Linked DNA regions of Arabidopsis thaliana. The protein of the gene in region 4 interacts with the protein of the main gene of each other region in a pairwise test. Each region holds a gene or a part of one and is shown on either strand. Other genes may lie near its edges. The genes, in order: AT2G01818, HMGA, LRL1 and AT2G31730.

Region 1 (8,395 bases), about 13 Mb from region 4:
CATTTGTTCCACTGGAAAGAGGAAGGGCGAAAACCGTTAGACTGGACTAGACGGCTGGCGATTGCATTGGATGTAGCTCGAGGTGTCGAGTATCTGCACACACTTGCGCATCAGAGCTTTATCCATAGGGATCTAAAGCCATCAAACATCCTTCTTGGTGATGATATGCGCGCTAAAGTCTCTGACTTTGGGTTAGTACGTTTAGCCCCTGATGGCAAATACTCCATTGAGACTCGAGTAGCTGGGACTTTCGGATACCTTGCCCCAGAATACGCAGGTTTGTACTTACCCAAATTTTAAAGTCTCTGCCTTTCAATTGATTTGCACTTGCCCAGTGTCAAAGTTTCATACTTTGGCCGTTTTGCACTTAAATTTTCATGCTTTGATCTTATTGCATTTTCCTAAATGTTATAGTTTCATCCTTTGATCGTTTGGCAATTGTTCTATACTCTGATTTTGGCAGTGACGGGAAGAGTGACGACCAAGGTAGACATTTTCAGCCTTGGGGTCATACTTATGGAGCTAATCACTGGTCGTAAAGCCCTAGACGAGACGCAACCCGAAGACAGCGTCCATCTAGTCACATGGTTCCGTCGGGTAGCAGCCAGCAAAGACGAAAATGCCTTCAAAAACGCAATAGACCCAAACATCAGCCTCGACGACGATACCGTAGCCAGTATTGAAAAAGTCTGGGAGCTTGCTGGTCATTGCTGTGCCCGTGAGCCTTACCAAAGACCTGACATGGCTCACATCGTTAACGTCCTTTCTTCACTCACCGTCCAATGGAAACCAACTGAGACCGACCCTGATGACGTCTATGGGATAGACTACGATATGCCGCTTCCGCAGGTGCTTAAGAAATGGCAAGCTTTCGAGGGACTAAGCCAGACCGCGGATGACTCGGGATCTTCGTCTTCGGCTTATGGAAGCAAAGACAATACGCAGACAAGTATCCCAACTCGCCCATCTGGATTTGCTGACTCGTTCACTTCTGTGGATGGACGTTGAAAAAATCAAGATTGCGTAAAACGTTTTAGTAGAAGAAGAAGATGAAGCATTGTGTGATAAATCTCTCTCTCGCTCTCCCTTTTTTTGCTTTTCTCTGAAGCATATTTACTTATGACTTCGTTTTTATCTACTGCAAGCTTTTGGTTAGTGTATTTATCTATCTACTTTGTGTAGTTTTTATGCAAAGATAACAATCTTTGAGTTCTTAAAATTTTAATATTTCGTCAGTAAAATCCAACTCATAAACCGTAAAAGCTGAACCAAACAGTATTTTGAACTCACTGCGGTTTAAGTTATTAACATGTGTTTAGGGGTTTAAGCAAGTAGATTACTATAAGTACACTTTCTATGAGAAATCATTTTGTATTCCAAGCCCACAAGTCCAATAAAGCCATGTGTTTATGGGTTTGGACTTTGGACCATACACCCACTGGAATATCAAAGCAGTCTCCGTATTCATTCAATTTGCTATGAGCCAGTTGGTCCTTCCCTTCTAATGAAATACATGATTTTGGTGTCCCTCATTTTATAAAGCACACTGTCCAATCCAATCTTCATAATATTAAGCATCTACTATTTAGGTTCACTGATCATATGATATAAAATCTAAACATCAAAGGTGACACCAATAATTGGAACTAAGTTAGGCAAACTTAACCGTTTACATGTAAGGAACCAATTATCACTTATAAACCATTCACAGCTTTTGATGTAGTTAAAAAAGATTAGATATGAGCTCCAATATAATGCAGATTCAACAACAAAAACAATACTAGAGTTATATACTCATATGTCACTAATTATTTTAGATATATATTGATAAGTTTGTATAATTATTAACTTATAATATTGATGTGATCATACATTTAATACATAATTTTAAAAATATATATTATTTTATTATCTTATGGATTTGTATTCAATATTACACTAGATTAATTCAAGAACAAAAAATAAAGTTAGGGTTAAGACATCATTGAGTCACCATGCCAAGTGGTATGTTCATTTTTGTTGTATTTCTTCTAATCTTTCATCCAGTGCTACTATCAGCATAGATCAACAACGTTGAGACGAAAAATCTGTATTAAAACGTGCAAGATAAATTGAACAAACACATATTATTTCCACGTTTTAATAATCATCGCAAGTTTTTGCAAATGGTATGTATTCAACTAAATCATATTTCTAAAACGTAAAAACGTGAAAACCCGCATACGTATTATCTCGAATAGGGAAAACTTTCTGTCATATGTTGTATCGAAGATGGAATGCCATAGAAACATCTACCTAAACTTATAATTTCAATTTTATATAATCTATAAATGCTACTATGCTCATTATCAAAATACTTTACTATTACTTTCTGGTTTTAATATTCATCTTAACGATTTTCAAGTGATATACTTTTTTTTTAATTTATAAATTATGAGCAAATGATAAGATATTTTTTAGGATACTTTCAACTAAATCTGTAACAAATTTCACCAATCTATTTAAATTTCAATTGTCTATGTATGCGAACATCAAGCAATAATCTAGTCTCTCCATAAGTATAGTATGTATGTGCTGGATTTGAATTTGCCTAAGATATTATTATGTGCACTTTGGAACGGTTATTTTTGACATCAAATATTCCTATCTATGTATATGTAGAAAATGATATAATTCTAAATTTGATAAGTTGTTTCCTTGGAAATTTCGGAGTAAATATAGGAAGCTTTGCTTACCTTTATCGCACCATCTAAATTATAAAGACTTAACTTTTTGCCCCTCAAAGTCAAATTATGTCCACTCATTTTTAATTATTACAATTTGCATATTAATGACCTAATTAGTGGATTTCATTCGTATTAAAAACATACTTATCGATTTATCTAGAGACAAAACAGTAATTTAAAAGTTACACATGCTTCATATTCCCGCCTGGTATCCATTTTAGGTATTAAAGAGTCACAGTTATTGTTGACTCTGTGGACTTTTGATTTTTCCCTCATTTTTAATATTAATTGTCATTTAGTTTCCTTTTTTTTAATTTATTATTCTCCACAAAACACAATATGTAATTAATTGAAACATTCCTAATATCATTTCTTTAATATTTCGTTTGCCTTCTTCTACTATTTTTATTCACACTACAAATCAAATCACATCTCTCTTCTTCTTTTTGCTTTTGGCCTTCTTCTTCTTCTTCTTCTCCTCCAAGAACACTAAAATATTTTTGGATGATTTTGATCGGAGAAATATAAAATCTTCTCATCTGATCTATCAAAGGAACTCAGTTTCTCATACCAAAATGAATCTGGTACATGCTCATTTTTTCTTATTAATTTCTGCAGTGTTAGTTTTTGTTGTTGTTGTTGTTGAAAACAAATCCCTTCAATTCAAGTTCATAGTTTCAATATAAATTAGAAACAAGAAAATTTCTGCAAAATTTATAGTTATGATTTCTTCATATAGCCCATTTATAAATTCTTTATAAATTTCAATAAAAAGTAAAATTTCTGCAGATTCCATATCCTTCAAAAATGTAGTTTTATTTTTTTTTTCTTTTCCTAATTGTAAACTGATCTCTCTAATTCAAGTTTTAAATTTCTTCATATAAAAAAAATAAAGTCAATAAAGTTTCAAATTTGTACAGATTGTTTTTTTCCGGATAATATTCATGTTTTTTTCTTCTTCATAGTAATTCATTATAAATCATAATTAAGTTTATGCAAATCTAAAAAAGTAATAGCAATAATTTTTGTAGAGTGAGAAGAGAAGAAGTGAAGAAGTTTGGATTGAAACACTACTGAACTCAGAGTTCTTTGGGATATGTATGAATCATAAGTATCTTAGAAAGAACGAGAAGAATGTGTTTTGCATTGATTGTAATGTGGAAATATGCAGACATTGTTGTAACACAGTTACAGATTCTCATTTCCTCCATCGTCGTCTTCAGATCTGCAAATACGTTTACCAAGATGTTATTCGTCTCCTCGAAATCCAAAACTACTTCGACTGTTCCGAGATTCAGGTTTTTTTTTTCTTTAAATATCTAAATCATTCAATAATTAATAAAATAATCATTTGAATTCTTGTTTTAGAGTTCCAAATTAATGTTTTTAATTTTGGTATTGGTTGGCAATAATTTATGTATGGGGGAAAAAGACATATAAAATAAATGGAGAGAAGGCAATACATTTGAATTCAAGGCCACAAGCAAAAGATGCAAGACCTTCAACAAAAGCCAAGAATGGTGCTTCATGTGTGACTTGTAAAAGATATATTCAGGATCATCCTAATCTTTTTTGCTCTATCTCCTGCAAGGTAATTTATGGTATCTTTTGTTAAAGTTTATATTTCCCTTTGAATTGTGTTGATTAGTCTATTGGTAGTCATCTACCTTTCTTAATCTTTTATTTATTGGTAGTTATCAAACATATAAAACAATCATTTACAGAATAATCTTGAAATGATAAAAAAAAGTTAGTCTTGAGGCATATAGTTTTGACATAGTATATAGGAAAATTATGAGTGATTTGAATTGTACACATTTTCAACTGTACATTGTCTTGTTCACACTCAAAAATGTGTATAGTTTTGTTTTCGGTTAGAAGATGCGCAAATATTTTTTAAAAGTGTTTCATTTTAATACTTTTCTTAAAAATCATTGTTTTGAAATTACAATATATAATTTCGAAAAACGTAATCTACATTAACAAGTATCATTTAATACAAATTGAAATCACTTAATACATGTGAGTTGTATAAACACGCTTTAAAACGTTAAATTTGCGTATATTGTTTGAAGTCAAATATAAGAATTTGCTTTTGAGTTTAGAGCATGCTCTCTAATAGTTGAAAGACATTTTTTTTAATATATTTTCTTTTTGTAGATTTCAACTCCTTCAAAAAAGCATAAATTTTGTTTTTCTCCAAAACTAGAACAGAGTGTTTTGGAGAAAGAACACTCTACTCAAGAAGGAAGCTTAGAAGAAAAAAAATCGTGCACATCGTCCCTCACTGATGTTTCAGAAGATTCTGAAGTTTTATTGAGTGATTTTTCATTTAGACCACTCTTGAGAATACTCAAGAGAAAAGGAATTTCTCGAAGATCTCCTTTCTATTGATTTTTTTTTTTCTTTGGATTTGTCATCAAAGCCATACATTATGTGTATTTTATCTATGAAAAAGATATTATATCGGCTATCAATATTATTTTAACAAGTTAATAAGTTTTGATGAGAAATAGTGATGTTTTATTTTTTTGCTAATAGGCTAAAAAAATAGTGATACAAAGAAAAATAATAATAGTGATGTGTAATGCGTATGTATGAGTGATTTATTTATTATTCATCATGGAGAAAAGAGAGAGAGATATGGGCCCAAAAAGTTTTTTTGGTTCATGAGAATGAGATTGTGTTGATTCACTGGAACCCACAGTTTTAATGAAATACAATATATAAAAATGAATATTATGCAATATTCTTAACGCTTTTTGGGATGAATTGATAGATACACGTTGTAATGACAAATGATGGTATCATTCGTCGTAGACTGAGGTTCCGAATGCAGGCCGAACGGTATGATGTGGTGCGGTTCGAACAGTAACAAAAATATATATATATATATGTAAATATTTTTGTTATTATTAGAACCGCACTGCATTTTATCCACAGTTAAACCGCACGTTACCATTCGGAGCCAAGTCATAATTTTTCTACGATATTATCATTTGTAAAAATTACATGGTTTGGTAAACTTCTCCATATTTCAATTCCTATTCCTGTATTTTTGCAACATTCTCTTTTTGGTTTATAATAAAAATGAAAAATTATACGATTCAACACTCCATTTAAGTTATTCGGGCTAACGAGTTTACCATTTTATGTAGTAGTTTTTCTTCTTCTTTAAATTAACGACTTTTCAATATGTCAATATGCATTGTTACAAATTGGAGCAATGGCCCGTAGTTGTTATCGTGACTTTTTGGGTGTTTAGCAAATGTGTCATTTTCCGTAAAAAAAGAATAAAGTATCAAGTATATGAGAAAATTCCATGATCATTGGTGTATATCACAAAGACTAAATATAAATCATTCTTTAACAGAAGTATACGAAGATATAGCGTACATTTTAACAAATGAATGAATGATCATGATAATGGGTCTATGGCAACTTGTTTTACATATTTTTCATATCAAACAACTTTATTTTTTCTTTTAAATAGTATTACCTATCATTATCATTTCTTCTATTTATTGTAGATCTTTGAATATACTAATGTTAATATTTCATAACTAAAGAGATAGAACCGAGATTGACAAACAGAAAAATGAAGCACGGAAGCATCACGATTCACGATTATGATACATAATATAGATTTAATTATTATTTTTTTGTGAAAGAATATAAGTTTAACTTGATATTTATGCTATAATTTATAAAATATCTGAAATTGAGGACACCATAAAAGTTTTTTATGTTACTTGTAAATACCACCATAAAAAAATATTATCACACCTAACAAGTATCTAAGTATATACAAATTTGTTTATTTAATTACAAAGCTGAAAATAGGACTGGGCAAAAAATCCGGAACCGAGAACCCGAACCGAAATCGATCTGAAAAATTAGATTCGAAACCGAACCCCAATCCAAAAATTTACCTTATTGGATCCTAAATTCCTCTACCCAAAAAACCGAATCCAAACCCGACCCGAATCCAAAAATACCCGAAAATCTAAATTTTACCCGAAACCCGAAATTTTACCCGAAAATCCGGGTATTTACCTGAAAAATCTGGGTATTTATCCAAAAATTCGGGTATTGGTTCCAATTTAGGCCCAAAAATCTATATCCGAACCGACTCGAATCCGATTAGATCCGAATCGAAACCAAACCGATATTTTAGATTTATCTTATTAGATTCTAAATTTTTCTACCCAAAATACTCGTACCCGATCGGGTTTTACCCGAATCCAACCCGCTTACCCGAATGCCCGCCCCTAGCTGAAAACTCTAATAAAAAGATGAACATATACTTGCTTTTAATATTATGTAATACATAAATTTTTATTTAAAGATATTTTGATGAGAAATTTTCTTAATTGTGTTAGTTAGAAAGAATAAAACATTTTAGAAAACAAGAAAAATAAATATTGACCACCTGGGGCTCACTAGTCAACATGGAGCGTTTATTGGGGCCAGAGACCTTTGTCGCGTATCTTTGTCTTGAACAAAAATGAAATTAAACAAAACCAAAACAATACCATAATCATCTTTAAAACCAACTCAACAACAAAAAAAAAAATCTTTAATCATATAGCATCCTCGTCTTATGGCTGGATCACTGTTCTTGATAATTATTGAGTCGCATTATCAAGCCAAAAAAAATCAATAATAGATAAAGAAGAATGATGGTCATAATGTTTTGGCAGCAAAATCCACTTTAGAAAATTAGAATATCAAATAGAAGTAAAAGTAATGCAGGAAAAAAAAACTATTAATTGGGTATGATTATGGCAGACAAAAAGTTAAGAATAAAAGAGGAATGCTGTGAGCCAATTGGAGGATATATATCACAGATTTAACTGAAGGAGACGAGAGAATAATAATAATGCATGTGCTTTTCAATCTCAATGTTATGCATGTTCCACATGCCATGTATAACAACATCTCTCTTCATTGACAAATAAAACTCTTCAAATCTTCCAATGTTTCTTCTAAGCTTCCAATTCAGCAACCACCTCTTAGTTCGTGCCAATCACGTGTTGAGTTCTCCACTACATCTCCATGTCCTCAAAGCGAATGTGTTAACTCTCGCATCTTCACAACTAACTAGTATATATGACTTGAATATGCTGAAAATCAAACCTATGGTAAACAGGCTTCATCATGTATGATGTCAGTATATAAAATTCATGAAATCAATTGGTGTAGTTGGTATTGGTTCAATTGGTGTAGGTGAGCTCCTGGGTGCTATGGCAAGGTTTCCTGAATGTTGAATAGAGGCGACACATAGATCTAAGTGTTTTTTTTGCGTTAGTTTTCGGAGAAGTCTTACACTTCTATCTTTGAGGTTTTGTGGACGGGCCTCAGATAGTTAGCTTCGTGGCAACAACGATGAGGATTCCAAGTTTCGGTTTTATGGCAATCACACAAATGTCCGGGTTTCACGAATTCGGAATCGGTGTTTCACTTTGCGACTTGGCCATTTTTCACTATGTTTCGATCCGAATCTTTTTGAGTAGTAATATTGTCTTAAATTTTCTGTAGTGCTTTTATCCGTTTCTACTTTTCTTTGTAACTTCTGTCACAAATCAAAAATGGTATAAAATTTCACTTTTTACCAAAAATAAATAAAAATTCATGAAATCAAAATAAGAAAACTAGTAAGATTGATT
Region 2 (7,365 bases), on a different chromosome or scaffold from region 4:
TATGCTTGCTTACAGCATGGGATTGTTCAGGGTGGGTACGCACTTATGCGTTGTTTCTTGAGGAACGGCTTGAATGCTTCAGGGTTCTGAAATATGACATCGAGGCTGAACGTCTTCCAAAAGTTTCCCCAGGGCAGGAGAAGGTATCAAATTTGCGTTTTACTTGGTTTTCTGGCCTTATATTATCTCCTTTCCTTCCTGAGGGTATTCGATTTTGGAAATGAACAGGGGTATAGCAAAACAAGGGATTTAGATGGTGAAAAACTCTTGGAACAGTTGCCAGCTTTACAACAGCTTCTGCATCGTCTCATTGGTTGTAAGGTGCTTCTTTGATGTCATTTCCCGAGTCGTGCACTATGTTTTGTAAATCCCGTATTATTTTCTATTAAGTTGGAGAAGCTTTTCCTGACGTATGAACTGACTTTGCTCTTTCGACTTTTTCAGCCAGAAGGTGCTGCTAAGCACAATCATATCATTCAATATGCACTCTCCCTGGTACATTAAACTAAACTCGGGGGCATAATTTACATATATCCGCTAGTTCTTAGTGTTGTGTCAAATATATACTATCTGGAAAGAACAGCTTGATTTAAGCTCTGAGATCTTATTGTAAATTGTGTATGCAGGTATTGAAGGAGAGTTTTAAAGTGTATTGTGCCATCAATGAAGGAATTATCAATCTAGTAGAGAAGGTAGGCCAGTTTTTTCTTTTCCCCCAGAGTTACTCTCTCCCTTCATGTGTTTTTTGATTTCTTACTGTTTTATACATGCATATATTGCAGTTCTTTGAAATGCCAAGACATGAGGCCATCAAGGCCCTTGAAATATACAAGCGTGCGGGTTTGCAGGTAATGTTGTTGGGTTATTTTCTCTGTTAGATCAATTTAGATTTCACTTAACAAGGGTTAGTTTATCAATGCAGGCTGGCAACCTTTCTGCCTTCTATGAAGTATGCAAAGGATTAGAACTTGCAAGGAATTTCCAGTTTCCTGTTTTAAGAGAGGTATCAGATAATAACTTGTTTGTTACATTTAAATTTGTGATGGCAGGTACTTTATCAATACTAAATAAGTCTATTTTTGTTTTTTTCAAGCCTCCACAATCTTTTCTTACAACAATGGAGGAATATATGAGAGACGCACCTCAGATGGTCGACGTCACATCTGGGCCACTGGTACATATATACTCTCATTGTGGTCCTACTCCTACAGAAACCATGATTTTTCTTTTATAACTTATTTCTAAAAACTTTGTCAACATACAGCTTCTGACCTATACGCCTGATGATGGTCTTACTTCTGAAGATGTTGGACCTTCACATGAAGAACATGAAACATCATCGCCTTCAGATAGTGCCGTTGTTCCCTCTGAAGAAACGCAACTTTCTTCCCAGTCTCCTCCTTCAGTAGAAACTCCACAGAACTTCATTGATACTGATGATCTATTGGTAAATTATGCTTATTACATATGGTCTTGATTTCTTTATTCTGTCATTGTTATCCTTTTGTCTCTGATTCTCTCAGTATTACACACAGGGTCTGCATGATGATACACCTGATCCGTTAGCAATCCTGGACCAAAATGCACTAGCTTTGGCCTTAGTTTCCAATGATGGTGAGCTTCTTGGTCTATGTACTGGAGCTCTAAGTTTGCCTTTCTTGCTTGTCTTTAGTCGCAATTCTGGTTATGTTTCTGTTTCCAGTTGATTCTTCGCCGTTTAGTTTTGGGCAAGCAAGAGATTTGGATCCGTCAGGATGGGAGCTTGCGTTGGTCACAACACCTAGCAATGATATATCTGCAGCCACAGAGAGACAGCTGGTAAGATGTATTCTTGTATTAGTGATAATGGGATGCATCAATTACGTACCATTGTCCTGTTAACGTATGTCACCTCTGGGGAATTGATTTTGTGGCTTCTGAATCATTAACATTTTTTTCTGCAACAAATGCAAGGCGGGTGGATTAGACACGCTCACCCTGAACAGTCTATATGACGATGGAGCCTTGAGAGCAGCCCAACAGCCTGCCTATGGCGTCCCAGCTTCCAATCCGTTTGAGGTCCAAGACCTGTTTGCATTTTCAGACAGTGTTTCACCGCCTTCAGCCGTAAACAACCCATTCGGTCTCTATGAGCCAACCTATCATCAACAAGAGCAGCAGCCACAGCTACAGGTTGCACCCAGCCCTGCAAATCCTTTTGGTGATTTTGGGGAGTTTCCAATAGTTCCGGTTTCAGAACCACAAAGCACCACCAGTTTTGGGGCATTTCCAGTACCGGTTTCAGAGCCGTCAAACACCACCGGCTTTGGGGAGATTCCAGTAGTCCCGGTTACAGAACCGCCAAACACCACCGCGTTTGGGGAATTTCCAGTGGTGCCGGTTTCAGAACCACAAAACATCACTGGGTTTGGGGCATTACCAGTAACCCCGGCTTCAGAACCATCAAACACCACCGGTTTTGGGGAATTTCCAGTAGTGTCGGTTTCAGCACCACAAAACACCACTGGGTTTGGGGCATTACCAGTAATCCCGGTATCAGAACCGTCAAAGACCACCGGTTTGGGGGAATTTCCAGTAGTCCCGGTTTCAGAACCGCAAAACACCACGGGTTTTGGGGAGTTCCCGGTAAACGCAGGTGCTCATGAGCAACATAACAGCAACAACCCCTTCGGCAGCACGGGCTTCTTGTGATCCCATCTTCGTATATTTCTCAAAATGCTTTATTTGTCTCATATGATTCTATTGTTTGTGAGTAGTAATAAAATCACATCATCTTCTAGTCTTGCAAATCTTGTTCTGCTAATAGAGAAAGACTCCTCGGGATTGATTATATAAATGAATTTTCATTGGTGGAAAAAAAATGAAAGATATATATAACTCATTGTGTTACATTAACAAAATAATTTGAAATATGATTAGCAAAAACGCTACGTAGTATGTCGTTTTCTGTTCTAGTAATCCAGCTAGGCTGAACCAATGGCCATTCGTTGAATAAAAAAGGAAGATTGGAGGAGAATTAGGTAATTTAAGGGTAATAGTCAGCAGAAGTCATTCCCATATGTCCACGTCAGTAATCCTGCTCGAGAAAGCTGCTATAAACTCAGAGCCGTTGGATCAACCCGTAAGTTTGAAAACCCCAACCGTCAGATCAACACTACAAGTTAATATGAGAATAATGAGAAAACCACTTTCCCAAATTGCTTTTTAAAATCCCTCCTCACACAGATTCCTTCCTTCATCACCTCACACACTCTCTACGCTTGACATGGCCTTCGATCTCCACCATGGCTCAGCTTCAGATACGCATTCATCAGAACTTCCGTCGTTTTCTCTCCCACCTTATCCTCAGGTGAAGTACACCCCTAAAATCTCTCAATCTCTCTCAATTTAGTTTCTGAAATTTTGGTTGAAATTTGTGTTTAGATGATAATGGAAGCGATTGAGTCCTTGAACGATAAGAACGGCTGCAACAAAACGACGATTGCTAAGCACATCGAGTCGACTCAACAAACTCTACCGCCGTCACACATGACGCTGCTCAGCTACCATCTCAACCAGATGAAGAAAACCGGTCAGCTAATCATGGTGAAGAACAATTATATGAAACCAGATCCAGATGCTCCTCCTAAGCGTGGTCGTGGCCGTCCTCCGAAGCAGAAGACTCAGGCCGAATCTGACGCCGCTGCTGCTGCTGTTGTTGCTGCCACCGTCGTCTCTACAGATCCGCCTAGATCTCGTGGCCGTCCACCGAAGCCGAAAGATCCATCGGAGCCTCCCCAGGAGAAGGTCATTACCGGATCTGGAAGGCCACGAGGACGACCACCGAAGAGACCGAGAACAGATTCGGAGACGGTTGCTGCGCCGGAACCGGCAGCTCAGGCGACAGGTGAGCGTAGGGGACGTGGGAGACCTCCGAAGGTGAAGCCGACGGTGGTTGCTCCGGTTGGGTGCTGAATTAATCGGTACTTATGCAATTTCGGAATCTTTAGTTACTGAAAAATGGAATCTCTTAGAGAGTAAGAGAGTGCTTTAATTTAGCTTAATTAGATTTATTTGGATTTCTTTCAGTATTTGGATTGTAAACTTTAGAATTTGTGTGTGTGTTGTTGCTTAGTCCTGAGATAAGATATAACATTAGCGACTGTGTATTATTATTATTACTGCATTGTGTTATGTGAAACTTTGTTCTCTTGTTGAACAATTATTGCTGCTTTGATTTCATTTTCACACTTAATAATGAGGGGAAAACTATGTAATTGGTAATGCTAAACATTCATTATTGTCACTAATTTAATTATGCTACAGTTAGCAGAAGAAAGAATCACTGTGGAATCAGCGCGGGAGTTGAAAATTTCAAAGGGAATTCAATTAGAAAAATCTGTGAAGCGAATGTGTGTAATCATTATCAATAGGGATTGAAATAGAAACTGTGAACAGAGTATGGAAGCTTTTTGGCATCCCCGTGAACAAAAAGGACAAAACCTTGTTTTCGTAAAGATTTTAGAGTGGGCCACTAATAGACAAACTTTGGGGTCATAGTCAGATGTTCTAATCATCTCACGGGTTTCAGTTCCCCTTAGACATGATGGCCAAAATTCATCCATATCATATCCAAATTCATCAAAGAAAAAAAAAAAAAAAAAAAAACCAGGTTCATGTATCAAATTTACTCATCAAAACCATGTATAATTATCTTCATTACTCATATAGCACACACCATATAAACACATATGACATATATTAATATTAATACAATCAAACATAGATTAATGTATAATTTGAACACCCAAACTCAGAGTTCTAACTCGGTTTCAAAGCCTCGAATACACATTATAAACTAAGCACACAACTTAACACATATATATATACAAGTGTTTTTATAACTTTAGGAATTTCAAGACCTAGCTTAGTTAGTTAGGCTCCATTGTTGGCGTAGGTATTAACGAGAGCGAGCGCATTACTCGTGAACCTCTTGACGTCGGCGACTCTATCGCAAATAGCCGTCTTCGTCTCTCCGTCTTCCATCTCCTCCGTGACCCCATCCGTACACGTCTCCTCGTCCGTCAACGCCGCGCTCATCCACGTCTGCACGTTACTCATCTGAAACCTAAACGCCGGATCTCCGGGACGACGGTGGTTCATCTCTCGGAGCTGCCTTAGGGAGCCACGCATCTGATCCACGGCATCTCCCACGTTCGAAACGCAGTCGTGGACAGCAGCTGAGGCAGCGCGACGTGAGAGTTTGGAGAGGTAAGCCGCCGTGTATTTTGCGCGGGAGAGAGAAACGCCGATTGCGAGTTTAGCTAGCCTTGCCGGATTATCTTGGACGGCGGAGGCGTATCCAGCTAGAGACGTGTAACATACGTCTGGATACAGCGTTGTGTTGCAGCTCGTACGGATGAAATCTAGATCATCGGTTGTTGGTTGTTCCGGAGGGAAACGGACGGCTGAGATTGTCCGGCAAATGAAGAGTAGGGTGACTAAGTAGAGAACCGTCGTCGTATAAAGCTGCCTCCCCATTTTAAGCTTTAAGTTTTTTACTCTGTTTATTTCTTCTTTGTTTCGAGTTAACATGTGAGATTGGAGGGTTTATGTAGACATTGAGTAATGGAGAAATGTGACATGTTTGCCCATTCATGCTCATTATAATCACATTATGGCCACTAATCATTTTGTCGGGTGTATTTTATCCATAGTTGGTGTGAAAAGGAAGGCTTGGTAGATTCACTATCTTAGCCGTACCTTAAAAGGAACTGCATTCTTTATGGTTATCTATCCCATATATATTTAAATTTTATAAGAAAATATGTTCATAACATATCAACGGTTAAAAAAATATCCATAACACTTCATTTTTATAACTATATTTTGTATGCACTTTTGTTTATAAATGTCGAGTATGAACACAAATGTTGAACTAGGTATGGGTCGCAAGTGAGATTTTGGGTGGACATTACTCCTCAGTTGCAATATCGACCACGAAAGGATCGTACGGTGAATACTATGATGGGACTCACCAAGTTATGGATGGAGTATGTGGAGATTCGCCTACAATCAATAATTCTGCTAAATAAAAGTAAATTATCCGAGAAGAAAATATCTGCACGCGTGATTATTAACATTGTACTAATAGTTTTCTCAAAATGCTCCAACTCATTGAATAACAATGTCTTTTTTTTCCTCTTTCTAAATAGACACCTTTTTTAGATTTTACTCATTTTTAGTGTTGAATCTGTTATATCAAGATTCAAGAGACAAATATATGACTCGAATTGTTTGAATTTTTGAACTTACTTTGTAGAACTAGGAACCCTAGAGAGTATCAATATAATTTGGAATTTTATTAGAAAAATTGTAGCGTTCTGATCTAATGCTATATATGAAAGAGAAGAAAATGATGACATGATCGTTTTAGTAAACGATCCACACCATGCTTCTTAAGAAGAAAAGTCCACTTAAAATGCCACTTTTAGAAAAAAATGAGTGTGTACTATATAGTTTATAGACTATAGTGGGGAGGTAGCCGACTAAATATATTATTATTTATTACATACATAGGATTTGATTAGTAACGTTTAAACCATTCTCATTCATGTTATGTGTTAACATATATTATATGCTTGGTTAGTAATAAAAATCAATATTAGTAATATTCATATATGATTACCAAATATGTATATGATTGAATTTGAAGCCTTCATATCTTAGTAAATTTTTTAACTATGCATTAATCATTATAATAGAATTTTTCACTTCAAATATTAATATTAATCATATCAAAACAAGAATTTTCTGTAAATTCCAAAACTTTTTGGTTACCAGAAAAAGACAATGAAAAGAAGAAGAAAAACTATTTGGTTGTTTTTTTCCAACGAAATATTTGTTAAATTCCTCGAATCATACCTATAATGAAGCCCGTAAAACTTATAATAGGCCTATTTCTCTAAGGCCCATCAGCATCAACACTTGGTTTGGAGCAAAGGCTTTCTCTCTCAGCTCAATCCCAGTTTTAGCTATGCGAGTATTCAAATGACACGAAATTTTTCGATAACACATCTTTAATTTCTTTTACTACAACTAGTATTTTTATTTTATTACAGTTATACTCATAAACGAGTGCCTCTTAAGCTCTTTTTATTTCTTCTCTTATTAAAGGGCAGATATTTCAAAATATAGTAAACAAAACAAGAAAATGAAACAAGTTCAAATATTATCAAATAAAGAAAATCTTATATTTATATGGTGGCTTTTACTGATTTCAAATTTTGTTATTCTCCAACTTTGTATAATTAGTAATGTATATTAATTACAAGAAAATGAAACTATATATCATTATGCAATTACACTGTTTACTTTCGACGATTA
Region 3 (9,230 bases), 3.2 Mb from region 4:
GAGACTTCGAGAAGCACAACAAATTCTCCTCTTCTTCCCTCCTTGTCTAGCCGAAGAAAAGTCGCGCGATTATATTCCCAACCGATCATTCTGTACTTATGGCCCAAAGGGATGATCTTTTTTGGAATAGATGCTGGGATCTTCACGTTCACTAAACATTGAAGAGCATCGGAAAGCTGATCATCAGCAATATCAGGAGATGGACCTTCTCGAGGGTGCACATGTTTTTGCTTTCTGAAGGGAATTCGTTGAACGAGGGAAGAGAGTAACTTGGGCGTAACAAGGGAGACAAAGGAAATGTGGATCGCCACAAGCTGCAAACAGAGCGAGCATGAACAACATCGAAACAGTTGTCCCCTAGATACTTCAAGATACAGTAGCTCCTCAGGGAGCTCAGACCAGTCTGGGGTTATCGATGATGTTGATGTCTTCTTCGTTTTGGGTTCTGCCATGTTTGCTAATGGAGACAGAAAACGCTGCAATCTACGAATTTGCTAAAAAAATTCTAATTTACATTTGAATTGATTGTACAGTAAAATCGCAACAAAATATTGGGGAAAAAACCCGAAGATTCATTTGGCATAAAGAGATATGATCGTACCGTAACTTGGAGCCCAAGGTCTCTGGAGAATTTGAAGGAAGAGAGAGTGATTTTGATTAAGCTTTAAAGAAATTGAGTATACAAAGGAAGAATCGCTTCCGCTGTAGCAATTTACTGTTAGTGTCGATTGTGAAGTTTGCCCTAGACTAGTGTCGTAGACGAGAAGATTTGAGGTGGGACATGAATTGAGAAAGAGGTGGGATTCGGTTCGAGATTGAATTGGGAAATTAACCGAAGGAATTGGCCGGTTAAAATCAAGTGAAGCTGATTAAACAATTCGGGTTTTGATTTTGAATATAAAGATCACGTTTGATAGTGGATTGATAGGCAAAGCTTTGCGAGATGTATCTTTGATCATTTGGAACACGCAAAGTGTTGTGTTCTTGTTCGTTCAATTCTAAAACAAAACGATTGATTGAAAAGGTATGAGTTTGTGAAGTTTGTGCAATAGATTGCAAGGTTAAAGCGATTGGCTTTGATCGAATGGGAGCATTTCCGATACATGTAGCGCCTGGATATTCAAAAAATGGAAAATTGAAAATAGAGAGGCTGCTCGAAAACACTCAAAGTTAAAAATAATGTATTAGACTTAGGGCTTGATTGGTTCTCCCTTTACCACCCGCAAACGCTTGTTAGCGATTGACACCAATCATAGAAATCGTTAGATATCGTTTTGGACCGCTCGAAATCGCCCGTTTTTCAAAAACTCTTTTCCGCAATCGTTTGCGGTTGCGAGCGGTAGCGGTTAGGTTAAAAAAAAATATCATTTTTTAATTAAATTAAATAATTGTGGCTTCCATCCAAACTCTAATTACTATAATTAAAATAATCTAATCTTTTATATATCTGATTTTTATTAGAAAACCTTAATCAATATATTGTAATCGTATTGTCTCAATTATGGCATCCGATGAAAATCAAAATCAAGAATCAAACATAAGTATCATCTATCCTTTTATTCATTCATTACCTAGTGTAATTCTTTAACTATTTCATAGCATCGTTGTTTTTATTTTATTTTGTATTCTTTTGAGTTTTTTGATTGAATACATGTTTCGATTTGTTTTCTCGATTAGAAATCATTTGGTCGGACGAGATGATATATTGTATTTTTATTTGGTCAGAAAATCAAATTTTCTAATATTATAAATTTATCATAATATATTGTATTTTTATTTCTTTTAATAGTAATATATTATATTTATTTTGGTTATTTTTTATTTAATTACTATCGCATCCGCTGGTTTACCAGTCAAACCCCGCAAACGCACCCATTATCAAACGCTCAACCAGTCGTTCAAAACTCTTGATAACGCTTAAAACCGCAACCGTCCGTTTCCGCAAACTCCCGCAATCGCAACCGCATCCGCTGTGTTTAAACCAGTCAGGCCCTTAATTTGGAAATGTCGTTTGCTAAGATTATTTTTCTTTAAATCGATCTGTATATGAAAGAGTATGCACGTCTCAAAGTGTTTAGGAAGATATTTTCAAGAGGAAAGGCATTAAACAAAAAGAGAGTCATAAGGATATTTCAAAGATATGATAAATATATATTGAAATATTGGGTTGTATAGAGAGCAATAATTTCCTAATGGAAAGTAGGAAATATGCTAGTTTGGCAAAAGGGAATGAGGACATGAATTTTTTACATAAGAGACAGGCTTTGTTTGGGTTAGCCAAAATATTTAGGAAAAAAAAAAAGAGAAAAAAAACAAGTTTTGTTAATTAGCGAGCTAGAGTTTCCTCGATGGAATACGTTTTGGTTTCTAGGTTGTGTTCATAGATCAAAGATGTAATTTAAAAAGAAAAATTAATTTTGTAGTGTGGATTTGAGATAGACGTGTGTTGTGATAAAAAGTTAATGGTGTCAAGTTAAGAAAATGTTTTAGACTTTTTAGTATTGAGTAGGTCCATTTAAACAGACTGCTACTGTAAAATTGTTAAATGATGATTGATGTCTATAGTGAAAATGTATAGACGTACGTACCTCTTTGTTTTGTACAGAATTTGTATATTCTTCAAACTCATATCCTAATATTTAGACTTGTGCGATCCATAAACATCTAAAGTCTTGGATTCAATATTTGAGATTTGAGAGACGAGATTATAACTCCATCTCTAAGTGAAAAACCAATATACTATTTTTTTCTTTTTCTAGCCTAATATTCAGATCAACGATACCAACTTTATTTAATAAAAATAAAACATATTGCAACCATATATTTAAAAAAGAAAAAGAAATGTCCCTTGAATGGTTTTGTAGTGCGTAGGTAAAAGAACCAAAACTCTACGAAAAATATGGCTTCGTTCAGAGAACACATCAAACAACCTCAACCTCATTCTTCGTAGACTTTGACTTTATCTCCCACTTCACCCCACTTTCTCTTTGTTTTTGGTATCTCTCTGCCTAACCCCAAAAGTAAACGGCCGTTATCACGCTTTCGAAACGGATACGGCCTCTTTAACGGCGATAGAAGACGACCTCTCGGTCACGCCGTTACCGTTTAATTTCCCATTACCGCTACCCATTTTTGTACTCGTCGACTGTATGGTCATGCCAGAAAGATTGGGAGGGGAAGGACCTCCGACGTCGGCAACAGCTCCAGGGATCAAAGGGTTACGGGAGTGACACGTGGCGGTTGAGATGGCGGTGGCTAAAGAGATTGGCATGAGACAAAGACCTTTCCCTTGAAGATATTGCATGGCCGAGCCCATGTCTTCTTCCATTAGTTTGGCCACTTGATGTTCCGTCATTGTAACGCTGTCGTTGGAGTTTCCGGCCGTCTGGCTACCGCCGACCATGGCGGAGGATGCGTTCCCGTGGGATCCACCAGCCTAAGCAAAATAAAACAAAACATTTTGAAAAACAAAAAGACAAAGAAAGCGAAACCCTAAGTGATTAGTCGGCACGCGTGCTCTCTTTTATATTTCTCTATTTTAGAATTATAAAATTTGTCTTATTTGTTTTCTGTTTCTGGAAACTTTTTACATTCATTTTGTTTTCAACGTCTTGCACGATTTATCTATTTTTACACACCAAAATAATATTTTGTAAAATCTAATTAACATTATAAGAGAAAAGTGATTGTCTAATTTCTTAATTTTGTCCATTGGCTTTGATGTTTATTGAAATTTATGAAAAATGAGTACGTAGAGATAGTAATATATTAGTTACCTCGGAGATTTGAGAAGAAACGGAAGCAGCACCTCCCAATCTGCTCATGCTCAGTACCTAAAACGCATAATTAAATTCAAAACAGAATGATTAAGTACACTGGTCCACTAATTTATAACTTAAAAACATTATTTATCATGTATGTATTTATATGACATAATAATCCAGAATGTATATATAAAATTTGAGGAGGGAGCATAAGGAATTTTAGTTGCAGAGGCCCATAAATTTGATATATTGGTATGTAAAGATTGTACTAATATGTCAGCTTTTCTTTTTGTTTAATATGTCAAACTAAAAGGCAAAAAAACGAATCTTCCATCTATATTGAAGAGAATAAAATAAAACAAATTGCACTCTGTAAAAGAATTACCCCTTGTACGTATGAAAAACAAACTTAATAAAATAATAACTGTAAATATATGAGAGAGAGGGAGAGATTCACCTTGACTTGGAGTTGTAAAAACTTGACATAATCTATGATCTCATCGAGCATCGATGCCTTGTCTGTCTGTCCATTATTATACAAATAAAATACAAAAACAAAACTGTCAGAACTGAGATCCTAACTCATTTATTACTGCATTAGTTAACTTTATTATTGTAGCCTAATTAATTAATTAGCTAATCAGTGTTTAATCATTTGATTGATATATACTACTAGCTACTCCTATATATAGATAGACTACACAACCACCAATTATATGAGTAAAACAAAAAATATAAATTTACTTGTTAACTCCTGAAAGTTCTAGTTGACAGCCTAAAACTATCTCTTGAACAACTAGCTCCAAGAAAGTTCCTGATCATTTCGACACTTATTTTCATTATTTATTTTGTATTTTTTCAATTTTAGGTCTAGAAGATGAGAACTATAAATAGACGATGGAGTTTAAATTGTAAATTAGATGGAATTATGGATCGCACGAATCAAGAGTGGATGATGAATAAAATGATGGAAAGTGAAGTTTATTTTCATAATGATCCATTTAATATTTTAACTAATCTTAATTTTTGGAAACTAAACTGAAAATGAATTGAATAAAAATTTACCTTATTGCCGTTAGGAACGAGTTCTTGAAGAGCTTTCATTCTTTCCGCAATTCTCTCTCTTCGTAACTGTCCCATAAAAACATTTTTTCCAGAAAATACTCAAATCTTTTCTTCAAAAAGCTAAAAAAAATTCAATTTCGACACCTTTCTCGGTAACTGATACAAATTAATGCATCGAACAAAGTAAAATAAAAAACAAAAACAACTAACCCTTTCGGCGATACTATGAGGATCAGTTGCTTGACCTCTCCTAGCTCGGATTTTAGTCCTACTCTGCGGCGGAGCCGCCACCGTACCACCAGTAGCTGTAGACGCGCTCGCCTGAGGTTGCGTTTGCGTTTGCGTTTGTCCTTGTTGGTTCATCAATCCTCCTCCCGATCCCTATATTTCACCATAAGTCTCGTTTTCAAGAAGAGAAAAACTTAGAAAAGAGAAAGAGATTATACCTGAGGGATTTGAAAGTTAGGAAGAGATCCGGCGACGGAGAAGCCATTATAAAGAGCGTGGACGGAGGAGCCATCATTCAAAGGCATCATCATGATCGGCTGATTCCTTGAGTCGACATCGTGGCCGTGGAAGCCATCGGAGGGAAGAGGATGAGCATCATCGACGACGGAGGGCCACGGGGCCGAGGAAAAGATTTGATCGAGGAAGTCTTCGTGGTCGAAAGTTGTTGATGGAGTTTGGATATGGGAAGAAGATGAAGAAGAAGGAGTTAGAAGAGAAGAGTTCATCATGATGATGATGGGTTTCTTCTGCTTCTACACTTTTTTTTGGGAAGAGGTTGAAAAATGTTGAGGTTTATAGCTTTATTATAAAGCAGAATTGTTGTAGTCTTGTAGATATATTATTTTAATTTTAGGTTTTAATTATCATTTTTGGTGATATATTATTAAAACCTTAAAAGAACTTTTGTTTTTCTATTGTGGTTAGCAACCCATATTATATCGTGATGATGAATCGATGATTATCATCTTTTGTTTCGTTTCCGTCTTAAACTTTGGTTTCTCTTTACCCCAAATCTTAATCATTATTTTTTACAGCTTAATACGTATGAAAATAAGTCTTTTTTTAATGTACATATTGCTATCTAAAGAGTTTTATTTGATTATACTTTTTCAGATGCAAACTAGTTTTATTTTACTATACAAATATATATTAAACATTGATGGATAAGAAGTTTATTTATATGGTGCTAAGTGTAATAGCTAGCTTTTGTATACAATTATAGTTTTCTTAGATAACATTTATTGTTTAGCAATTTTATTATTTTTGTGTTTTCATGTAGTTTAATGATTTGTTTTGTTGTTGTAAAATAAATGTTGTTTTCATTTTTCTATACAAAAATTAAATATATTTAATATTTTTGATCAATTATATTTTGTTACATATTTTTTATTAATTAAATTAGGTGTAATTAATAATGTTTTTATAGAAAGGAAATAATTTAAATGAGATTTTTGTGTTTTGTTAATATGTGTAAAAAATCTTATATAAATATTATACTGTATATGGGTGATGATGGCATGCCCGTGATTATTAGTGCCTTTCTTACGTTTCAATTGTGGCTTCTAAAAATTTTACATGGACCAAGGAGTTACCTAATTAGTCCCACCAAAAACCAAATACAAGGAGGATATCCTTGTCCAATCCTAGATCTGATCGATTAAATAGAGGCTTGGATATTCACTCAAAAGGTTTTCCTAAGAAGTTGATTAACCATTTGGGTGGAATTCAAAATGTTCGAGCCATTTAGCCGGATAAACGTGAATTTATCCGAACCATACCAAAATCAAAAATACTTACTTACCCATTGAAAAATCCATTCGACCTAACGACGTTAACCTATTTTTTTTCTTTTCAGAGAGTACATCATTTTAAGGAGAATGATGAAACCAAACGACCCTTTGGATCGATGGAATTCAAGAGATGTACATTGGAGCTACCCAAAATGGTCTCGGACCACCTAAGTGTTACCCAATGATTAATCTAGCTACTTGACTATCTACAGATATACCTTAACTTCAAAATTCACTGGAAAACCAACCATTTTAATGAGAATGATCAAAAAATATTGGCTTTGGATTAAAGTAATTTAGGAGATGGTTAAAAGAGCACAGCCGCTGGTCGTTTACCCATATCTATGACCAGTTTCCAACCCATTTACTTCTAGCCCGACCAAAAACACTTGTAGTCCATCTTGGTAAGCTAATTAGTTTTACATGGTACTGCAAATTTGTTCACACACACATGGTGCATTTGTTCAACTCATATATACGAATGTTAAATAAGTTTTAAAATTGTAAATAAGTTTCTCATTATATAAAAATTTAGAATTTTCCGCAATTGATCATTAACTGAATTATGTATAGTACAAAATTACTCATAAAATGAAACATATTATATATTTATTAATACAATCCGAGAATGAAATATTACATTCATGTTTTAATAATCTTTTCACGATGATAATTGACAATGGTCTAAAATTATAAACTCGAGCAGGTACATTCATCAATGATGCTAGAGCTCTCGAAATTCTACTGTTTTTTTCTATGCCCCCAAGATCACAAACATCCTATCCCAAAGACGATACTCGTAAATTAATAATTACAAAATATGATAATAACTTTTTAAAATGAAATTCCCTATCAATATGATAACTTATCTTTTGAGCTAATCACGTACGACGTGGAGCTTTTTCTTTATAAATAGATAGTTATTATTCTTCTTTTTTTTTATTTTTATATGTAGCTGAAAATTTGGTATTTCTTTAGATTGTGCCACATTCACCATATACTCTTTTTGGGATAAATAATAACATTAAAATATTTGCAAACTTAATTTTTGTGTCCGGATGTTTGACACTTCTTCATTTGGATTCATTAACTAATACATTTAAGGTTTCGAGGTCTGTATTTTGTAGTCAGAAATATTGTTTTCCTCTTTTCCATTAATTGCTAACATGAACACATTTTAATGAAACAAAATCTCTCTATTCATTATATTTTTTTTATATAATTGCATTTTTTCACAATAAAGTTTTCTAATAATAAAATAAATCATAATAAATGCTTACGGGAGTTACGTCTCATTATCATAAAATATTTTTTGATTTCTTGTTAAAATATTCTTTTTGAAAAGTTATCTCAATTCATAGCTATTTTCTTAATTATAGTTATAGACAACAAAATTCGTGAAAGCATACTTATAAAAATCATATATGTGTGACTGTGTGCATGTATCTTCTCATGTTATAATGCACATTCATGCATATATGTATGTAGTGGTTCGTACCATGGAATAAGTTCATTGAAATAATATTCCCAAGTCAGAATTCTTTCAAAAATTTAACGATTAAACAAACATATATAGGCTCATCTACGTTCATGTATGTCTACGTATGTGCATGTGTGTATTGCATATTACGCATATAAATACGTATACATGCATATCGAGCTTTACAAGTTATATCCAACAATCTAAATGGACACGTCTTGTGTTGGCGTGTTCACTTTCCACTCTCCGAGTTATAGGTTTCAAAATGATAAAATTTTATTTTCGGTTAATCGATAGAATGTTACAGTTTTGTGTCACTCACAACTCACAAGTCACAATTTGGTCAATTAATGGTCTTTAATTTAATCAATAGAATGTTACATTAGAAGCCTCAAACTTTCACGGTTCTTTCGATAGAATGTGCACATTCTCTACGGCAATTAAGAAAGCAGAACAACCCATCTTAAAACAGAAAAAAAGAGTATAACAACCCATAATCATTGTTAAATTGTTATATCAATATTTTTATGAACAAAATCAAACCATAGTTATATTAAAGGTTTGTTAGAAAGATAAACAATATTGGAAGATAAGTTAACTTCAGTTAGGAGGTTTTATTGGTTTATAATTTTTACAATTTTTTTTGATAACTTTAGTAATATCATAGAAGATAAATAAATTAATGAAAGATTCTAAACTATTGGTAGAGAGTTTTTATAATATTATTGATTAATTTTTTACAATTTTGTAAACTTTTTTTAACAATCTCTATTTTGATATTGGTCGACAAATGTCCATGTCTACATAAACCAATAACACAATAATTTAATTGATTAACAATCATACATTTTTTTGTTTCAATTAAATAACAATGACTTTATAAAAGTATGAATCCAATAACTTTAGTTTTATAAAGATTTTAGATAATTTTTAAAAAGTTTTAAACTGTTAACACCAAACCTTAATAAACTTTAAAATTTTTTTGATTAAGTAACAACAAATTTTACGTAATATTTTAAGTCATTAAAAATTTATTTAGATCATAAACAAAAGAGGTGTAGATTTGAGTATGAAACAAGTACATATTGGTCCAAATAAACTAGATTTTGTTTTTGCCAGGAA
Region 4 (8,000 bases):
ATAGTGGAGCCACCATGGAGGATATCCAGGTAGGTACTATCTACATTTTGAGTTGTCTGATGCATTATGTTGTTTACTTATTGATCGATTTTATCTGGTAACTTATTCATCTCAGAATGATTTATCTCCAATGGTGACACAACTAGCTCCCAGAAATGATGATGAAGCTCGCATTCCGTATGTTTATCGGATTTTTTTTTTACTATATTCTCCATGATTTTTGGTGCAACAGTAATCCTAACTCATTTTGTTTCCGCCATTATTGCTTGTTAATTAGTAGTTGAATTGAATTGGTGCTGTAGGTATATGATGGCAAGTGATGGGATAAAAAAGCGTGATACTGTCCACGAGGTATTATTACTAGATATACCCAATTAATCACTTAATAAAACTGTTATTTGTTGTCTCTTCTATTTCTCGCCTTTCACAAATATGATCATCGTTTCCTTTATTGATCTCCGTGATTAGACTTTTATCCACCACTATTTTAGCAAATTTTAATACTACTGATTGGTTAGAATACGTAGTTATGGGGATCTTTTTTGTTTCTTACTATTCATTTCGATTTGTAGGTTACATCTCCTATGACTGGGAAAGTGGTTGTTGAAGATGTGGTTTATGAAAGCGCTCCTAGTAATTTAGAAGACTTGTCTACTTCTAGTGATTTGGCATTTCGACGACTTGTATTCAAAAGGACTGAGGGTTTGATACAGTCTGAAGCTTTGCTTGTAGAGGATGGTGAGATTCTTGAACAGTCTCAGAAAGAAAAAACTAAAAATGTTTCCCAATCGAAGCGAAAGGGAAATAAAAAGCAAAACCAAGGTAAAAATCGTACTTCTGTAAGTGTTTTGATACATTTCAGGTGAAAAGTTTCATGATCTTTTTTACATGTATCCATTTCAGAACCGAGCAGGCCTCTTATGAGGGTCTCTCATGATTATCTGGCTAGCTCTTACCACACTGGAATTATTTCTGGATTCACATTGGTATCTTCCTACTTGAAGAAGGCTGAGTCATGCGGAACGATGGTGAGCATTATTAAGTTGTGGCCTCACGGTGCAACCGATCTGAATCTTTTCTTTGCCTTGTACTGATCCAGAAATGTTCTGATGCTTTTCAGGTTAAGACTGTTGTAATTGGTCTTGGAGCAGGATTACTTCCCATGTTCCTCCATGGATGCTTGCCATTTTTCAGTATTGAGGTAATTTCAGTTTAAAGGATTAATCAAGTTGAGTATTTTCTATTGCCACTCATATTCTGTATCCTGTTGAATAGGCGGTTGAGCTTGACCCAGTAATGCTTAGTGTTGGCAAGGATTACTTTGGTTTCACACAAAATGATCGCTTGAAGGTAAAATTCTCCCTCTTTACAACAAAAGTGCTGGCTAAACTTTAACATGTTTATATTCTATTCTATTATATGCACCATCACTCAGCTCGTTCGCATTCTTATAATAGGTGCATATTGCTGATGGGATCAAATTCATTAGAGATATAACAAACTCTGAAGCTTCGTCTGAGGAATCGTCAAACATTGGCTCAAATGGAGATTCAACCACTCACAATACACAAGGTGGAATTTGTCCTGACATTTTAATTATAGATGTGGATTCAGCAGATTCAAGGTAAAAGACATGGCAAGTAAATTCACATATCTATGAATTTACCCACATGGTAAGCCTGATTGTTTTCTTGTTTGATCTCTTGTCTGCAGCGGCGGATTAACCTGCCCTGCATCTGATTTTATCGAAGAGACATTTCTTCTTTCGGTTAAGCAAGCTCTCCCTCAGCACGGTCTTTTCATAGTGAATTTGGTCACGAGATCACAGTCCGTCAAAGATATGGTAGTATCAAGAATGAAAAAGGTAAAGCAAATGTGATTCATTCCTTGTAAATTCTCTGCATATTTTCACAAATCTGATCTGATACTATTGCACGGAAATTGAGTCATAGAATTGATCTCTATTGTTTTGTTTTTTGCCAAGGTTTTCGATCATTTATTTGGCCTGCAACTAGAAGAGGAAGATGACGTAAACGTAGTGCTCTTTGGGCTTTGCTCTGAATCTGTAATCAGCGAGAACGATATTCCAGAATCTGCAGTTATACTGGAGGGATTGCTCAAGTGCCAGAGATTGGAAACGAAGCAAAGCATCATAGACGCTACAAAGAAGCTGAAATGCTGGAAATAAAAACATTCTTTATTATTTCGTTTTAAAAAGACGTGTGAGATATATTTCTGTTATAAGTTAAGATTGAAATTTTTGAGACTATATTATATACAATACACCTAGTTTCGTCCATACGCAAATGGAAAATGAAGCGTGGAGTTTTTTTCATAACCTTTATGATTGTTAGACCTACCAACTTATTGAAGCATTCAATTTGGATGATAGTGAAGTTGGAATGTAAGTTAAACATCAATGTCTTGATTAATTTTGTGCATTTTTGGGAACTATCCGTATTGTTTCTGATTTGAGTGATCTTCCTTATTGTTGCTAAGAAATGCTCGAATGGTGATTAGCATAATTGCTGTTTATTCATTGGAGCTATAATAATTATGGTTGTAATATTGTAATTTGGGAAAGAAAGCCTTTGATACAGGCCGATTTTGGTACGTACGTAAGAGAGATATAAATTGAAACACCTAAACCAAAATCTGGTCGCCGCGAAGACAAAAGAAAAACATTTGTGGCAAAGAAACAAATTCAGAAACCGCGTGGGTCCGATATGGAACGCTGATCAATTGGACATTTGTAAACATTTCAAATATTTTGCATGTAATCAATATTGTTGTTATATTTTTTGCCTTTTAGTTATAGTTAGGTTTGTTTTTTCTGTTTGTTTGGTTAGATTCAACTATTTGTTTATGCTTTTCAATTTTGGGTTAGTATTTAGCTGTTTACTTTGGAGAAACAAAAGAAGATAGATTCTGTTCCATATAAACAAAAAGCTGTGTCGTTGAAACTTGAAAATGTGAATATACTCGGATATCAACCAAAGGGTACGCTGCATTAACCAACCTCCCTCGTAGAAAATTTCAAAGAAAGGATAACAAAACAAGAAAAAGCACAAAGTTGAAAAAGAAGTGACAGATGCAGAAGAATTGGTCAAAATCATTTTGACAAAACTACATAAAAAACAATCAAATGTCACTTTCAAAATTATTAGCTTATTTATTATTTTATTATGAAAATAATGAAAGCGACTTCTATCTGGGACTGGTAAAAGGACCTCTCTCACCATTGGTTGTACATTAGCTGTCAAATTTTTACATTTCCATTACATTCCCTAACTCCAAATATATACACTAAACTAAATTCTTCAAGTTACTTCCTAATTACTACTATAGTAATTATTTCCTAACCGTCAAATAGTACTGAATAACACATATAATATAGTTTCGATTGATTAAGAGATTTGAATTAAACAGAATAAAGTTTTACGATTATATATTCTAACAATTTATTTGTCTCACAAAAAAATCTATAGATTTAATGAGAATTAAATGAAGAGGACGAAAGGAAAAACAAAATGAAGAAAAAGACATATGAAACGTAGTCCCCTCTTTTCTTTGCTTTCTTCTCTACATAAAACTAAAACTCCTCTCTTTCACGACCCTTTAAGTAACGACGCCGTTTTCATCCAAACACAAACCTCTGGAATCGTGTCACCGTTGGAGCTCCGGCTTCATTAATGGCTTTCTTCAAGACCTGAAGACAAAAGAAAGTAAAAATATATATACACTAGAGAGACCAAGATCCTCGTTTATGGGTTTCATCGTGTCTTGTGCTTAGGGTGACATAAATACCCATTTAGAGAGCTTAGACCAAGAAGTTTTAGAGTTTGTGAAGTTACTTGTTGGTTAGTCTGCTGTTTCTGGCAAATGCTGAGTCTCTTCTCTCTGTAAGTTCTTTTTTCTTCATTTACTCTGTTTTGTTCCCCATTTTTGGTCTTTTTGACTTAACTTAGAGTATTTTAAGGCAAAATAAAATCATGAATCTTTTGGTATTTTTTGTTCTCATCTTCTTGTGGGGTTTTTCTATTGAAGTTTGCTTAGCTTTGAATCTTGTCTAATGGAGCTAACTCGATCCAAAATAAAAACACGTATAATGATTAACTAGTTCTGCTCATTAGATGAACTAAATTAATGAGTTAATTCCGTAGTTTCATGCATCCTACAATGTATTGTCTATGTATGGAAGCAAAGTATGATATCATATTTAAACATCTATGATTGTGCTACTAAACTTTAAATAATACTTTAAGCTGATGTGATCTTATATGGATAACCTCTGACCATTATCTACTTTCTTTGACCATTGCTCTTGTTTTCTAATCCAAAAGTCGTATCTTCCAATGCATTAGTTGGTCCAAACCTAGATTTGCATCCCTTAATTTGTAGTAGTTAACATCTAATTTTGATGTTAAAACCAAGACACCACTTTGTTTGTCTGGTCTGAGAATATCTCAAGGCGTATAGTTTTGTCCTTATGACGCTTGCAAAAGCAAGTTGTTGAGTTGTAATCTTATGTTTTTTTCTGCAACTTGCCTTGGATGAAGCCATGAGATTATCTTTATAAATGGTAGCAAGTAAACCGGTTTCTTATGTCGAAAAACCGATCATTTTTGTTTTGTTTGATGACAAGGAATGGAATACTCTAGAGACTCGGCAGAGATGATGATGGAGACTAAGCGCAATGTCTACTCGCTTGAAGATAACAAAATTAAACGACACAAGTCATCTGATCTCTCTTTCTCTTCCAAGGTCTTGTGATACATCAAAATCAAAATTCATTGTGGCTATGAAGCTACCGGACATTTCTGTACCAGCATGCTAATGATCTTGAAACTTTGTTGTTCTGTGGTTTAAACAGGAGAGGAAAGACAAATTAGCAGAACGTATTTCAGCTCTTCAACAACTAGTTTCCCCTTACGGAAAGGTACTACTTGGTCCGAAATAATCTTTCTTACACGCTCTTTGTCTTCTCTAGCCATGTTCAAGTCTCTATCTATGCAGACCGACACTGCATCAGTTCTTCTAGAGGGAATGCAATACATTCAGTTTCTTCAAGAACAAGTCAAGGTCTGCTCAAGTTTTCTAATCAAATACTTTTCATTCATTCACCTCCTCCAATCCAATGATGATTATGCTTGATTTTCTCTGTTCAGGTTCTAAGTGCTCCTTATCTGCAAGCAACCCCTTCTACTACAGAGGTGAGCTGAATCTATGATCTGGATCTCGTTTACTTGGATCACAATGCAAGACTGATATTTTCCATCTCTGTAACTAGGAGGAAGTGGAAGAGTACAGCTTAAGAAGTAAAGGGCTATGTCTTGTTCCATTGGAGTATACATCAGAAGTTGCTCAAACCAATGGTGCTGATATTTGGGCTCCTGTGAAGACTCCAACATCTTCTCATGCTTTTAATCTCTCGTCTTCTAATTCGCCCTTTCAATGAGCTGCTGCTAAATTCTCTGTCTCAAGACTAATGAAAATTAGCCAAAGCTTTGGTCTGATCATGTATTGATGGAGAGACCTTGAAGTCGGTGATGGCTGTTTCTGTTATTTTTTACTGCTTAATCCCAACTCTGTGGTGGCTTCTTGTAACAATTGATTCTAATGCGAAGTTTAACGGACCGGTCAATGACCGGAATTAGCTTCCTGTTTAATAAAGTTTGAATTGGTGAAAAAGAGTTAACCGGTTTAGAGAAACCCGGGAAACTTAACCCGACCCAAAATTGTCAAACCCGTTTTGTTTGCGGCTATTGAAGGATCTTCTATTGAAGAGAGCAGCTAGCTAAAACCCTAAAGCCCTAAAATCAAAATTACGCTAAACAGAGAAGGCGACAATGGATCACATCGCTGCGGCGGAAGAGCAAATCGTATCGGAGAGACTTCGAAGAAAGCTTGAAGAAGTTAATGTAGCTGCTCAGACTCAGCTTTCTCCTATCCAAGATCACATCAATTTCACCCTTCAGGTATATACAAAAATCTGTACTTTTCGCGAGCTCAGCATAAATTCTCTCTGATATAACAATTTAGCAATGTTAGCTTCTGAATATGGAATCTTTATTGGTTTGATACAATGCTAGTTTCAAATTTGATGAATTGAGTAGGTTCATGAAAAAAGTCTGAAAATTTGCATTTGGGTTCGTACTATATTCGTCTTTAGACACTATGGATTAGGTTCACGACAATTGCTCTGGTTTAATTACTATATTGTGCTCTGTAGGATATTCGATAAGTAGGCGTGTCTCGTTGCATAACAATTGCTCTGCTTTGTCTTCAGAAGCATGAGAGTTATTAACACCTTCTCTTGTGTTTTTGGGTTGCTATATTGAGTTATATGATCCGTTGATTCAAATTAATTAAACCCTGACAACGATATCATTGTTGCAGCAAGCTTATTTCAAATGTGCATATGAGTGCTTTGATAGAAGAAGAAAGCAAGAGGAGATAAGTAACTGCGTCGAGCACTGCAGTGTTCCCGTTGTCAAATCTCAACAGTATTTCGAGAACGAAATGGCTCAATTTCAGGTAAAGATATCTGCTAAAAGATGATACATAGTTTGCTGTGTATAAAGACTGATTTTTGTTGAATGAATGTATAGGAAAGATTGAACAGATCACTGGTGGTGTGTCAAGACAAGTTTGAGGCCTCAAAGCTCCAGAAGATAAGGCCTGAAGCGGTTAACGAGATGGAGAGTTGTGTGCACAAATCCATTGAGGAAAATCTCAATACATTACCACATATTGTGCAGAGAATGAAGACAGCATTTAACATAACCAACTAAAAGCTCTCGTGAAAAACCTTGGATTCCAGAACTTGACTAGCCATATTGTTTGAAAAGACCTTTTCTTTTGTCTTAATATGATCTACAAATTTGTTTTCCTTTTTCTTATATTAAGTTTTAAAATTTGCCACTGTTTTGGAATAACTGTATTTGCTTGTTCTTCATCTTCCCTAGCGAAAACTTTAAAACTCTATAAAAAAAAATTGAGGATAAATACATGAATTTAAAGATTGAACCGAACAAAAGAGACTAACCAATAGAATAGAAGCAAGTAATTTAGTGAATATCTAAAACTAATATAAAAATATATAGAGATTATCACTAACAAAAAAAAATAAAAAATAATAGAGAGTTATATATACCTTTGTTCGTTTGTGAAAGGAATTGACAATCAGAATCATATAAAAGCAAGACTATAAACTCCTCTCTGCCGCTTAACTCTTTCTTCTTGTCTCTCTATTTTTTATAACAATGGTGAGAGGAGATGATCAACTTAATGGTTTGCAGGGAGGGAAGAGAGCGTTAGATATTTTATGTGTAGCGACGGAGAGAACGGTTAGCGCTTTTGCATATGAGGAAATAGGAGAAACATCCACTGAAGGTGATAAAAGGAGGGAGAGACTGAGAAGACTGAGAAGATTAATTAATTACAGTCTGAGCACAACTATGAATTCCAGCTTGAGCAAACGACTGAAGATTGATGAGTGCAAGAATCAAGACCCGGAACAAAACCCTAATCGTGTTGCTTCTTCTCCAAGTTCGTGCCATCTAGAGTCCAAGAGGCCTCAAAAAGTGGTTTCAAACAAACCGGTAAGAAACAGAAAGCCGGTTATAGTGACAGATGAAGATAGGACACCGACGGAATGGCTGATTGACGTGATGAGAGAAGTGAACGGTATGGATGCAAAGCTGATATTTGTGAAGGTTCTTCCCAATAGTGATGTCGACGAACTTCAGACACGTCTTATGATGCCCTGGAAGCAGATACTAGATATGGACTTCTTAAACGAGGAAGAGTTAGAAAAAATAGATAGACATCACAAAAAGATTAGTGCCAGTGACAAAGGAGCGGATGTGATCGTGGTGAATTCTAAGGGTCTACAGAGGAAGCTTAAGCTCAAGAGATGGGATATGACTTCCACTTCCAACTACGTCTTAGGTTTAGGATGGAACAAGGTCGTCACCGATAACATTCTACAGAGAGGC

What was found.
Region 1: the proteins of AT2G31730 (region 4) and AT2G01818 interact in a two-hybrid assay, tested with the Arabidopsis thaliana proteins (one large-scale study listed by BioGRID).
Region 2: the proteins of AT2G31730 (region 4) and HMGA interact in a two-hybrid assay, tested with the Arabidopsis thaliana proteins (one large-scale study listed by BioGRID).
Region 3: the proteins of AT2G31730 (region 4) and LRL1 interact in a two-hybrid assay, tested with the Arabidopsis thaliana proteins (one large-scale study listed by BioGRID).

Annotation. Positions count from the first base shown.
Region 1 is NC_003071.7:350,277-358,671, reverse strand, and holds AT2G01818 (PLATZ transcription factor family protein), read left to right. Parts: upstream 1-3,077; 5' UTR 3,078-3,301; coding exon 3,302-3,310; intron 3,311-3,757; coding exon 3,758-4,024; intron 4,025-4,158; coding exon 4,159-4,317; intron 4,318-4,886; coding exon 4,887-5,120; 3' UTR 5,121-5,328; downstream 5,329-8,395. Other genes in the region: AT2G01820 (Leucine-rich repeat protein kinase family protein), read left to right, coding at 1-277, 464-1,008.
Region 2 is NC_003070.9:5,135,254-5,142,618, reverse strand, and holds HMGA (high mobility group A), read left to right. Parts: upstream 1-3,151; 5' UTR 3,152-3,265; coding exon 3,266-3,349; intron 3,350-3,423; coding exon 3,424-3,954; 3' UTR 3,955-4,503; downstream 4,504-7,365. Other genes in the region: AT1G14910 (ENTH/ANTH/VHS superfamily protein), read left to right, coding at 16-143, 229-321, 445-495, 627-692, 783-848, 923-1,003, 1,094-1,174, 1,265-1,447 and 3 more; AT1G14890 (Plant invertase/pectin methylesterase inhibitor superfamily protein), read right to left, coding at 4,915-5,574. UniProt on the Arabidopsis thaliana protein: Binds A/T-rich DNA with a highly dynamic distribution into the nucleus.
Region 3 is NC_003071.7:10,316,612-10,325,841, forward strand, and holds LRL1 (LJRHL1-like 1), read right to left. Parts: upstream 5,813-9,230; 5' UTR 5,567-5,812; coding exon 5,276-5,566; intron 5,247-5,275; exon of another isoform or gene 5,211-5,246; coding exon 5,040-5,210; intron 4,896-5,039; coding exon 4,830-4,895; intron 4,288-4,829; coding exon 4,222-4,287; intron 3,834-4,221; coding exon 3,777-3,833; intron 3,437-3,776; coding exon 3,035-3,436; 3' UTR 2,602-3,034; downstream 1-2,601. Other genes in the region: AT2G24255 (LOW protein: F-box/kelch-repeat protein), read right to left, coding at 1-452.
Region 4 is NC_003071.7:13,485,241-13,493,240, reverse strand, and holds AT2G31730 (basic helix-loop-helix (bHLH) DNA-binding superfamily protein), read left to right. Parts: upstream 1-3,561; 5' UTR 3,562-3,902; intron 3,903-4,549; exon of another isoform or gene 4,550-4,645; 5' UTR 4,646-4,647; coding exon 4,648-4,764; intron 4,765-4,873; coding exon 4,874-4,939; intron 4,940-5,016; coding exon 5,017-5,082; intron 5,083-5,168; coding exon 5,169-5,213; intron 5,214-5,290; coding exon 5,291-5,458; 3' UTR 5,459-5,691; downstream 5,692-8,000. Other genes in the region: AT2G31740 (S-adenosyl-L-methionine-dependent methyltransferases superfamily protein), read left to right, coding at 1-29, 116-177, 303-351, 573-822, 904-1,028, 1,121-1,201, 1,276-1,350, 1,458-1,624 and 2 more; AT2G31725 (FAM136A-like protein (DUF842)), read left to right, coding at 5,850-5,978, 6,400-6,537, 6,612-6,794; AT2G31720 (B3 domain protein (DUF313)), read left to right, coding at 7,266-8,000.